3 linked regions of the Oryzias latipes genome follow. The protein of the gene in region 1 interacts with the protein of each later gene in a pairwise test. Links are inferred from orthologs where the notes say so. Each region holds a gene or a part of one and is shown on either strand. Other genes may lie near its edges.

Region 1 (3,570 bases):
GGGTTAGTCAGTGATCTGCTGAGTGCACAGGACTGACTGCTGGAGCTCTTTAGCTCTTGATCTGGTCCACTTTTTCGTCTTGAATGGGTTTTCCCTTCAGCTTGCGGTGGCTGGTCTTTGTGTGCAGTGCGGCTGCAGCTCGGTACCTTCTGCGGGTGTCACGGCTGCTCCTCGTTCCCGGCACTGGGCGTTCGGTTGCGGATTTGATTCCTCAGCTGTTCGATGAGTTCGGGGTTCTGCTGCTGCATCTGCTGAGCGAACTGCTGCCCTCTGCAACACAAACAGCGGTCAGCCCTGGCAAGCTCTCCCTCCAGCACAGACCTGAGTGTGGGTACGCACGCCTGGATTAGCCCCGACAGATCTCCTGCTGCAGGGGCTGTGGGGGGTGTGGGGGCTGCAATGCCACTGCCGCCGCCGCCGCCGCCACCACCGCCTCCTCCTCCTCCTACTCCTCCTACTCCACCTCCTCCACTGCCGCCTCCCAACCCGCCATAAGCTCCAGACATCATCCCGGACATCCTAAAGAACAAACAGGTCAGCCCATAAAAAAAAAACAAAGATGTTCATTGAAAAGTCATTTGAAAAATTAAAAAACTGAAGGAAAATTACATCAGTGAGTAAAACTTGAACAGCTTTTCATTCTTTGTTCCTGCTTTTTCTGCTTTCTTTAACCCGGTTCGTGATGACAAACTTTCATTTCCAAACGGTCTTCAACCACATCTGTCGAGTTTCGGGCTCTTCGGTGGTTCCGTGTGAGAGCGGCCGAGCATTTACTCACCTCTGACCAATAAAAGCTGCTAAACGCTTTAATGGCTGCTGCTAACTTTCTTTTTATTTGGCCTTTCGTTGTACATTTTCGCTTGTCTGCAGGAGAACGCTCGGGGGTGCGTTTGGTTCGGTCAGACACAGGAAGTGATCGTCTTCTGAACTGAATGACTGACACCTGAAAATCTCTCATTTTCTGAAATGCTGCATATGATTTCAGAAACCAGAAAGGATCACATTTCTTTCATGAAACCAATGAAAAAATAAGAAAAAAACTAACTTTGTTTTTAAGTTTGAACTAAAAGCAACCAAATAACTTTGGATTCAGTCGTTGACCTGGAGGCTTTTTTAGAGGTGTGTGTGCGCGATGGGAAAGTCCGGATCAAGTTCTTTTGGGCTCCAATCTGATTCCAAGTCATTTGATTCTGAGAATCTGCTGATTCAGAGACCTGATCCAGTACTTTTGGAATCCATTTGAAATTTAAACAGATCCCGGTTTTCCCCGACTTGTATTTTACGTATTGTATTTTTCTTCTTTTGTTATTTAACACTTAATCAGAGCACTTCTGGGAAGTAGATTTATCAATCAAGTAACAATAGAGAAACTATTAACTTAGTTTGGCGATTGTAGCTTTAGAATATTCAGAACTATTGAACATTTTTGATCAGATGTGATTCATATCTCCATTTAACTATTGACAGCTTGCTTTAAAAAATAATAAAATAAAAATTGCTGTTGTGGCAAGAATATGATGATGAATACTAATGGCTAACTTGTGTCAAAGTAACCATTTATTGGCTTTGGTTGTTTTTAAGATCTCTCTCTCTAGATATGTATATAAAAATGATATGCAGACTTCTAGTAGAGCATTTATTTGAAAGTGCTGATCATAATAAGACTCCGCTACGATTCTACTTCAGTCTTGCTTGAGAGCAGATCGGGACATCTAGATGGTGTCTAGAGCGCGTGTGTGTGTCAGTGTGTGAAAGACAAAGAGGAAGAACAGAGGAATGACCTCTTCATATCAAAGTTTAACGGCAAATAGCTGGCCGCCATGGAGGAAACTGTAGAGGGAAGAAAGAGTCAGACTTACAGTTGCTGAACCTGAGGGTTGCTCATCAGAGAGGACGCCTGCGGACAGGAAGTGACAAAAGCATGAGAGACGAGCAGCGGCGCTTCAACCTGCCGACGTCGCACCGATCTGCTCTCACCATGTTCATGAAGCCGGGGTTACTGAGAAGACCGGCCAGGTCCACCCCGCCCATACCTGCAGTCTGACACACAACACAGCTTCAGAACCAGACCCCCCCCCGGACGCCGGCCAAACGCCCCGCCTCCTTACCGGACTGGACGTCTCCATCTTCTCCTCTGCGATCTTCAGGTTGGTCTTGTAGGTGTCATTGTCTGGGTCCAACTCCAGCGCCTTCTTGTAGTAACCGACAGCTTCAGTGTGTTTGTTCAGGCTGGCAAGAGCCAAGCTGTAACACAAACACGCAAAGACACACAAACTCAGACACAGGAAACAGTCCCCCTCAGAGTCAACTCAGAACTATAAGTCTTTCATCTGGTGGGGAGGGAGGGGCTGTAGTCAAACCTGCACACAGAGCCGCTGAGACGCACAAGCACTTTTTTTTCTTCCTTAGTACGGGAAACATTTGATTTCTTAACGCCGTTAAAACACGTCAACACATTAAAAGTTTCACCCGAGTTACCAGCAGCGCGTTTGCACAGCCATTCAGATCACGCCATGAGCCAGACAGTGGTGGAGACAGAATCTGAGCCAAAATAACCATTTCAAAGGCCCCCGATCTCTGTCCCAATAACAAATATCGGCACCGATAATCGGTCGACGCCTAGTTAAAAGCCCTGTAACAGCTGCAGGCCCAAAGCTTTGCGCTGTATGACAGAGAGCCGCATTCTGGCTCCTCCTGAGCGGGAACATGAAGGGAAAAGCGGCAAAAGGGAAACATTTTTACACAGAAAAAGGACTATGACCCATGAATCAGGCAATATCACAAAGGTGACCCCCTAACCCGTCGCTTTCGTGGAACAAAACCCCCGAACTTAACTAGTTGGGATTTCAAAACTAGAACTTTTTTTTTGTGCAAACAAATAACCTCTTTTGCAGAGGATTTTTATTCCATTTTATCAACAAAAACAAACAAAGAAACTTTTTGTAACTACTTGAATGATATCGAATTATTTTTATGTAAAAAAAAAAAGGGTTTTAAAAGTGACTAAAAAAATCCAAATTATTGCCCCTGTAGTGGTAAAACCGTTAACCTCTTCATTCTGCCTCTTGCATCATTTTCACGCATGTAGTGGCACTCTCTCTGTTCGTCTTTCTCTTGTACCACCGTTTGAAGTCTGTCCAGCAACTGTTATTTGAAACGCGAGTGAGACGTGTTCTTCATCAACTGTTTATTCCAAAAAATAAATAAAATTACACGAACAATGATTATTTAAATTAACTATTAAATGAAAAAAGTGCATTTGGCTTCAAATAATAACTATTAAATGCAGGATTCCAGATGTTTTAAGGCTGAAAAACTCCTCACTACACACTGTAGTCAGACAGAAAGGAAGATTTTTACACTTTTCTATTTGTTTACTAATCTTTAAGGTTAAATCTTCAAGGAAAAATACGTCCAATATAATAAAATACAAAACAAAGATCTCATCTAGAAGATTTCTGTCGATATGGAAATCTATATGTATCTGGACAGGAGACTCGGTACAGAAGATTGATTGACAATCCTAGCACTGTTTAAAAACAAACATGTTAACTTGCTCTGAAAAGAATC
Region 2 (4,237 bases), on another chromosome or scaffold:
TTGGCTGATGGGTCAAAGTAAAGTTTGTTTTGTTTTATTGATCCACTCAGTGGATAACAAATGATGCCATCATTCTAGTATTTTACAGGTTGGAGTCTGCTTCTGCATTCACTCATACGTCTGAGTTTCAGGGGCAGCTCACACACAACAACATTTATTTAAGTCTTAAATTTACCAGAAAAAAGTCATAACTGTTAAATTACCAGAATAAAGTCGTATATTTAGAACTCTAAAAGAAGTAAATCCAAAAACACCAAAGTTGTCTGTTTATAGCTTGAAGATGAAAGATGTGGAGCATTTTGTGAAGCTTTATTTCTAGTTTTCAAAAACAAAGAAATTCTGAACCTTTTGGTTCAGATAATCAGATTATTATTAGTTTTACCACTTTCGCGTCCAGATCTGTTATACTTCCCTCAGTGAATGTCCCTGCTCAACTCTGAACAGGAAGATTTCTAGAAAGAGATTCTCCGTTTTGTGTCTCTGATAACAACAGCAGCGGTTTCTGAACAGATGTTGGTCCTACCTGCCAGGAGAACCTTGAAGCTCCAGACAATCACCAGCTGCTGGACCTGCATTCTTCCCTGCTCCTCCTCAGAGCTGAACCTCTGAGCAAAGATGAAGAAATCTGTGAGGCAGGCTTTAAAAATACCAAACTCAAACTTCCGTCTGTCTTTCTATACAGGAAGTTTTCTTTCGTAATTTCAGTTTTGGAGTCATAACTCTCAATGCTTAACATTTTCATTTCTGACTGACTTTGAATGTATATTTTTCACCAGAAGCTTTCAGTCTTTAAAAGAATGCAAACATCGAAGAAGTTGCACGCCAACAAAGTTCCTCAAAAATAATTCCATGACTTCCTTGTACTAATTTCTTAAAGCCCTTTATGTTTATCATTTTCTGAAAAGAATCTTAGCAAAGACATTTTTCTTCTTGCAGCTCTTTTGACAAACATCCGTTCTCAGAGACAAATCAACACATTGTTGATTTGAATGGTTTTTATTTTTATTTTCTTTCGCTCACATCTAAAGTAGTTCGTGCACATATAAGTACATTTCCTGTTTATTATCTAACACTGTTGTGACGCATCAGAGCTGCGCAGGTTTTCGCTCCCGCGAGGACCACTTCAAAGTCAAGAACGGTAGGAAGAGCTCTCACTCTGGTAATTATTCTGAAAAACCAAAGTTTGGTTTTAAACGTGTTTGATGCTAATTACGAAAGTTGCCTTTCTGTTTTAAACAATTGTATTACTTTCTGCTAGCATTGATTTTACAGTCAGTTTTATATTGTAATTTTAGTTGTTACGCAAAAAAACGCCAAACTAGCCGCGCAGTGACTCATCAGCTCTCATAGACGATCTTTGCCCAGTCTCATCGCGCGCTGCTCCGCGCAGCCTCCCTGCATCCTCGCGCGAGCATCACTGAAGCAGTGCTCTGGTCAGCGACTCCCGCGCGCCCCTCTGCTCCGCGCAGACGCATGAAGGCCGTCTCCCGGTAGCAGCGACTCCTTCCTCGGTGAATCCTCCGCAGTCGTCGCTCCTCCATGGATGTGAAGTGAAGGCGGACGGAATCCAGTTGCTGTCTCTTCCTCTTCCTCTTATTCTCACCGTCCAGACCGCAGAACCGCACCGAACCACAAAATGGCGGACATGGTGGAGCTGGGACCCGCCTACGGTGAGTTTTTTCAGCTCCATCGGTGCTTCTTTACGGTTTTTCGGTTAAAATGTCGCCTTGCTTGAGGTTTTTCTGTTTTCTGGAAGGTTCCGCCGGTAAAATACCGAGTTGCTCTCTGAACCGGCCCTGCTGTACCGACAGCACCGACCCGTTACAGCCCGGTGGGCCCGACGGTGCCTTTTTTCGCTGTCATTGATTGTATCACAGAATTTCAAGACAATTTTTACTCGGATTTAAATTTCATATTTATATTAAAACGATTATTATTCAAAACTTCACTTATGCAAACAAGTTTGTTTTTTATTTGACTTTTATTTTAATCTATATGTATTTTTGTAAAGAAAAAAATCGTTTATTTATTTAATTTTTTTACTTTTTATCTCTTAATTGTTTTTTTTTTAAATCGCAGTAAAAACTGTCAGTACCTTAATCACGCTCGTGCGCGCGCAGTCCGTTACTTGTGTGCGTGCGCGTGCCAGTAAGGGTGGGTGAGGGGTGACGTCATGTCTGTACTGTTCGCCTGAAAAGCCCACGCATGCGCAGGATTGTCGCTGCTGTCTCATTGTTCTCACAGTTCTCGCCCGTTTTACCGGGAGTACGCCTGAATAGACGCGGGGGTTCGGCGGAACCAGGCCCGGTTCTGTCCCGTGAGAAGCTGTGGATCATTGGGAACCAGGACAGTGTAGTTTCAGACCCATCAGTGGACACTGAACGCCCCGAAGTCCAACTCAAACAGAGAAAGAGTGATTTATAGAGTGGATCGGATAATGACTGGATCCTAGATGTAGATGTTTCAGCCAAAATAAATTCTCTCTAAAGGACATTTTAAGAAAAGAAAAGAGTTGCATTGTTTCTGACTGAGGTCATGTGACCGGCCCTGTGACAGCAGCTTTTGTCCGGCGGTTTCCCGGGTCTCTGGCCTGTCAAACGGGTCTCAGCTGAGCCTGAGTGCGCCTGTATGAGGGTTGCTAGGCAGCCGCGTGAGCCGCTTCCAGCTCTCCCCAGAAGATGACATCATGTGTTGGGAGCGCCAGTGAAAACAGCAACAGGGAGGTTCCTGCAGTCCAGAGCCTCAGCCGCTGCCCAGAGTCCAGATAGATGCCATGTTGCTACACCGCTAATGCTATGTGGAGAATGTGTAAACAGACAGCTCTCAGCAACAGAAAGGGGGGGGGGGGTTGCTCTGCGCCAACAGTCCCGCCCACAAAGAGGTCAACTTCTAATAAACTGGTGCTGCTCTGCAGAAACTATGTCCTAGAAAACGACACAGGATTTTAGATTTAGTCAAAACCAGAATAATCCTAGTTAAAAAAAAACACTGGGGACGATCAGAGGGGGGCTTTAATGTGAAAAAGACCCCCCCACCATGACGGCTGCTTTGTCTCAGACGCCTCAAAGTCTCGTTTGTTTCAGTTGCTGATATGTTACTGAGGAGGTTGATAGTGTGCAGGTTCAGGTCTACACTGTTGTGGGTCGTAGGTGTGAGGCTGCTGTGCTTCAGCAACTCCCCCCCTGAATGAGGCCTGTGTTTATCGCTGCAGTCGGGTTTCCAACAAGCCTCTTCTGTTCCCTGCAAACAAAGAGCTCCTCAAGCTTCTGCAGCTCCTCCTTCCTGTCCCACTGCAGCTCCTCCTTCCTGTCCCACTGCAGCTCCTCCTTCCTGTCCCACTGCACCTCCTTCCTGTCCCACTGCTCCTCCTCCTTCCTGTCCCACTGCACCTCCTCCTTCCTGTCCCACTGCACCTCCTCCTTTCTGTCCCACTGCTCCTCCTCCTTCCTGTCCCACTGCTCCTCCTCCTTCCTGTCCCACTGCAGCTCCTCCTTCCTGTCCCACTGCACCTCCTTTCTGTCCCACAGCTCCTCCTCCTTCCTGTCCCACAGCACCTCCTCCTTCCTGTCCCACTGCAGCTCCTCCTTCCTGTCCCACTGCAGCTCCTCCTTCCTGTCCCACTGCACCTCCTCCTTCCTGTCCCACTGCTCCTCCTCCTTCCTGTCCCACTGCACCTCCTCTGCCTCTCAGCAGCTTCACCTACTCTGGGTTTTCAGACAACCCCCCTGATGTCCCAGAGGAACATGTCACGTTTACTTCATCTACTCTGAGGCGGTTCTCGTTTTGGAACCGTTCTCCCGGTTCTGCTCACAGTTGGTCTGGTTTGATCAGAACCTTTCAGTGACTGCCAGTTGAGCTGTCCTCAGGTGGGATTCGGTAAAATCCACATTTTTCATTAGAGGTTCATTCCGGTTCTGCTCCTGATAATCTGGGTTTGGATCAGAATCCAGCCTCAGCAAGAACCTGGAGTCTGACTCTGTGTTTTATCAGACCAGGACCCGTTTCTAGGACGGTTCTGAATTCTCCAAACATGTCACCTTTAGTTCTAAAAGTGAAGCAAAAAGGCTTCAGGGTGAACCCAGGCCAAAATAAATGACAACCCCCCCCCCCCCCCCCCCCCCTAACTGAAACATGTCATCTTACCTGCAAATGAAAGAAAAGGCAAAGCAAAGACAAAACTCTAACCTCCCTAACCCAACAAAAACAGGAGAAAACATGTACTAAAGAAAATGACAGT
Region 3 (4,037 bases), on another chromosome or scaffold:
TCCACACAGAAAGGTCCCCCATTGATGTTGTTTTTCACATCCCCCAGCCGGGACTTGAACCTGAGGCCGTCTTGCTGTGAGGCAAGAGCGCTAACCAAAGCACCAAATCAAGTTATAGTTATTGTTGTTATAGTTCGAAAAAATGCTGTTTTCTCTTTACATTTCATTGTTTGGTGGATACAAATTGTAACACTAACATAAATACAGTACAGACCAAAAGTTTGGACAGACCTTCTCATTCAAAGAGTTTTATTTATTTTCATGACTATGAAAATTGTAGATTCACACCGAAGGCATCAAAACTGTGAATTAACACACGTGGAATTATATACATAACCAAAAAGTGTGAAACAACAGAGAATATGTCATATTCTAGTTCTTCATAATACCCTCCTTTTGCTTTGAATACTGCTTTGCACACTCCTGGCATTCTTTTGGCAAAAAATTATTCATTGGCCCAAATTTCGCTCTTGCCTCACAGCAAGAAGGCCCCCGGTTCAAGTCCCGGCTGGGGGATGTGAAAAACAACATCAATGGGGGACCTTTCTGTGTGGAGTTTGCATGTTCTTCCTGTGCATGCGTGGGTTCTCTCCGGCTTCCTCCCACCGTCCAAAAACATGCTTCATAGGTTAATTGGCAACTCTAAATTGTCCTTAAGTGTGAGAGTGAATGGGTGTGTGATTGTGGACGTTCTACCCTGTGACAGACTGGCGACCCGTCCAGGGTGTCCCCTGCCTTCGCCCACAAGTGGCTGGGATAGGCTCCAGCAGCCCCCAAAAGAGAAAAACGGTTAAGAAAATGAATGAATGGCCCAAATGTTAACTGGTATTTCTTATTAGTGTTGTTTTTAAATGTTAAATAGTCTCAATATGAATTGTAATAACCCCTGTGAGGCATTTCCGTTCTGCTCTATATCTCTGTTGAGATTTTTTTTAATTGTTATTATTAACAAATATTGCACATACAAAATACCAAATATTGACACTCCACACTATGTGCAAAAGACATTCACTTTTGCCAGGAAAATGAACAAAAATGTCAAAAAGCTATAATAAAAGCAATGTAAAACAAGTTAAGCAAACATAATAAAGTCACAGGAGTATGTTAAAGCTTCAAAAGAGACCATGTTTAAACGGTCATAACAGCTTTTTTTTGTCGGTGTAGGATTTAATACTGTTTACATACAGTCTCATTGCTTTCTGGTTTTGTTTTGAAGGGCAACCGGAAGTGGCCCAGTGTGGGCGTGTCCCTCGTGTCCGGGCCATTGTGTCTTGACTCTGCCCTCCTCTGTAGAGACAGGTGTGGAGACTGAGTCCTCCCTCATCCATCCATCCATCCATCCTCCGCCTGCAGTGATGGCCGCCCGCCGCCCGCGCGCTCCGTGTCTGCTGCTGCTGCTGCTGACCGTGGAAGGTGAGCCGGCACGCGCCTTTGTGAAGCGCCGCGTGCAGTCAGTGAGTCAGGGGGAATAACGGTCCTCTGCGGCCTGGAAGCACGCGGCACTTCTATTATTCTATATTACGTGTTGGGTTTTTGACTCGGTTCTTCTGTTTCCCGTTACTATTACTATTACTAATTATTATGATTCTTTTGACTGGCATGGATGAATTTGTATTGAGCCGGCAGCTCCCTGCTGCTGCTGAGGCAGATCATGGGAAAAAACAAAACACATGCATGGTAATATTTCTGTGATTTAATCTTCACTCTGAATGTAAAGGTGACCATTTGCACAGAAGCAACTGTCTCCTTGTGACTGCAGCAACACCACACGTGTGTGGGACGTGGCCGCCTCCCTTTTTCACCTGCAGCCTCCCTTTCTTTGTCTTGCAGCTCGCCCGCCTCCCTGTGTCTGTCTCTCTCTCTCTGCTGCACCTCCTTCTGTGATCCGGCCCCAAAAACTCTAGTCTGCTCGGTTCTGTCCAGATTCTCTGCTGTGAGGTCTTCCTCAGCAAGACTTCTGCTCTCATTTTCTCTGCCCTTCATCACAATTCGTTTTCACGTTTGGGCCGCGGTCCACAGACACATTCCTACCTAAGGGGTCCTCCCCAGAATAAACCACGTTCACTACCTTTCTAAGTCTTTAGGATGTACTTCCAAAAGCTGCAGTCTGTCAATCTGCACTCAGAATCCCCCTCCGTCCCAGCAGCTGCTCCTTTGGGTGGGATACTCCTCAAAACACACAGACCACGACACACAGACGTGTCCTGGGTCGCGTTGCGGATGGAACGTGTGCGCGGTTGTTGTGGAACTGCAGCGGGTTGGCGGTGGAATTTGCTGGGTTTTTGTCTGCCTCTGCTCCTGCTCGTCCTCTGAATGCCAGCGCTGCAGCATTGGCATTCAGAGGATTAGCATGCTGCAGGCGTTCCTGTCCGTTTGTGTTTGTGGGACAGCAGCACCATCTGGACCTGCAGAGGTGGAGTCTTTCTGACGTGTTTCTCTGCTCTCCTCTTCAGTTCTGTCCCAGAATGGCTTCGACCTTTCGGATGCCCTGGATGAGAAGGACGAGCCAAGTAAGTTCTGAGCGTGTGCAAGGGGAGGACATTGACTGTACATGAGAACTGGACTGAGTGACCCCTCCCCCTGGCATTCCAAACAGGAAGTACCCGCTGGCTCCAAGAAGCCAAACTCCCAGAGACTGACTTCTACAGAGAAACAAGCAGCTGTTACTGTCATTTTATTAGTCAGAATCAAATATTCTTGCTCTGATACCTTTTTTTTTAATTGTTATTCAAGTTATAAATTGAAAAGCATGTGGTCGCACGTCAAACGTTTGATTGACAGATCCTCCGCAGCCCACTTTCAAGTGGTAGGAGTGTTTATTTCCAACGAGCTCACTCCTGATCGGTGAGAGGGGTTACCATCAAACTTTATTTATGTAAAAAAAATACAATTCTCATGCATTGCGCAACTTGAAGCACTTTAACATTAAAAACAAACAAACAATATTACAACAAAATCCTACCCTTCATCCTTCCCACTCCCCTCTGTTGACACATATGACCCCTGACCCCATGCACACACAATCTATACTTTATTTCTAAAAGAAATTTGAGGCTTGGCTCTGCTGTGAGGAAAGAGTATTTGGGAATCCGGTCATACGACTTAGACCAATCACTGCTCGTCTGGTTCCAACGTGGCGACGGCCGTATCACGAAAACACTGCAACTGAAGTGACTTCACTTGGAGCCAAAAGTAATCCGTCTTCGATGGATGACATCACGCTCACTCAGTCCAGTTCTATTATACAGTCGCTGTGAAAATAACTAAGAATCATCATCACATCATTCAAGTATTTATATTAATTCAGACATTTCCTGACTTGTGGCAGACAGTAATTAAAGATATACAAAAAAATATATGAATATTTAGTTAATTAGGTTAATGATATGATCAAAATGAGCATTTATATGAGTTTTCTGTTTTAGTTGCCACTTCACATTAGAGGTCTTGGTAAATGTTTCCCAAGGAAACAAGAATAACATCAAACTCTCCTATTATTTTTTATGCGTTTCATTTATTTACATGCGATCAGCACTAAAAGTCATGGAAATCCATGCGTCTTGCTGCATTGCAAGTATGTTAAGTGCGTCCGAGGTTGCATTGTGTTTGTTAAAGTTTCACGCTTCTACGTGTGTGAAGTGTCTTCTGTAAGGGTTAATGGTTGGCGAAGTGTGTATTATCAGAAATGAACGAACTTCAGAGAAGCAACTTTCCTCAGAGGACGATTCAAATGTACCTGCTTATGCCATGGTCACTTACAAAAGAAATAAATATTGAACCAGGTTTTGGACTTTATTCTTGTTATATTTCTGCTGTGGATCACACTGACTATTTGTGACGTGGCGTGTTGTCAGGTTAACATAGCAACGCGCCCCCATAGGCGGCTCGTTTGGCGGTGCCCTCTACCGCAGCGGCAAAGGAAAGCGACACATGCTGATGATCACGATGTGTTAAATAAAGCATCAGTTCAGAGAGAAAGTTCACCTCTTACCGCTTGTTTTTGTCCAGATGATGAAGCAAAAGTTTCTTTTAAAGAA

What was found.
Region 2: the proteins of sgta (region 1) and syt11 interact in binary tests that used the Homo sapiens proteins (3 or more experiments, as listed by UniProt). The two-hybrid records come from large-scale screens. The link is inferred for Oryzias latipes from reciprocal best matches to the Homo sapiens genes SGTA and SYT11.
Region 3: the proteins of sgta (region 1) and CD99 antigen-like protein 2 interact in binary tests that used the Homo sapiens proteins (3 or more experiments, as listed by UniProt). The two-hybrid records come from large-scale screens. The link is inferred for Oryzias latipes from reciprocal best matches to the Homo sapiens genes SGTA and CD99L2.

Annotation. Positions count from the first base shown.
Region 1 is NC_019862.2:5,208,390-5,211,959, reverse strand, and holds part of sgta (small glutamine-rich tetratricopeptide repeat-containing protein alpha), read right to left. Parts: intron 2,245-3,570; coding exon 2,109-2,244; intron 2,041-2,108; coding exon 1,978-2,040; intron 1,898-1,977; coding exon 1,860-1,897; intron 520-1,859; coding exon 340-519; intron 271-339; coding exon 159-270; 3' UTR 147-158; intron 1-146. UniProt on the Homo sapiens protein: Co-chaperone that binds misfolded and hydrophobic patches-containing client proteins in the cytosol. Mediates their targeting to the endoplasmic reticulum but also regulates their sorting to the proteasome when targeting fails.
Region 2 is NC_019874.2:31,725,297-31,729,533, forward strand, and holds the start of syt11 (synaptotagmin-11), read left to right. Parts: upstream 1-1,412; 5' UTR 1,413-1,636; coding exon 1,637-1,670; intron 1,671-4,237. Other genes in the region: uncharacterized protein LOC101164342, read right to left, coding at 524-575. UniProt on the Homo sapiens protein: Synaptotagmin family member involved in vesicular and membrane trafficking which does not bind Ca(2+). Inhibits clathrin-mediated and bulk endocytosis, functions to ensure precision in vesicle retrieval.
Region 3 is NC_019876.2:27,084,926-27,088,962, forward strand, and holds the start of CD99 antigen-like protein 2, read left to right. Parts: upstream 1-1,212; 5' UTR 1,213-1,355; coding exon 1,356-1,413; intron 1,414-2,453; coding exon 2,454-2,510; intron 2,511-4,037. UniProt on the Homo sapiens protein: Plays a role in a late step of leukocyte extravasation helping cells to overcome the endothelial basement membrane. Acts at the same site as, but independently of, PECAM1.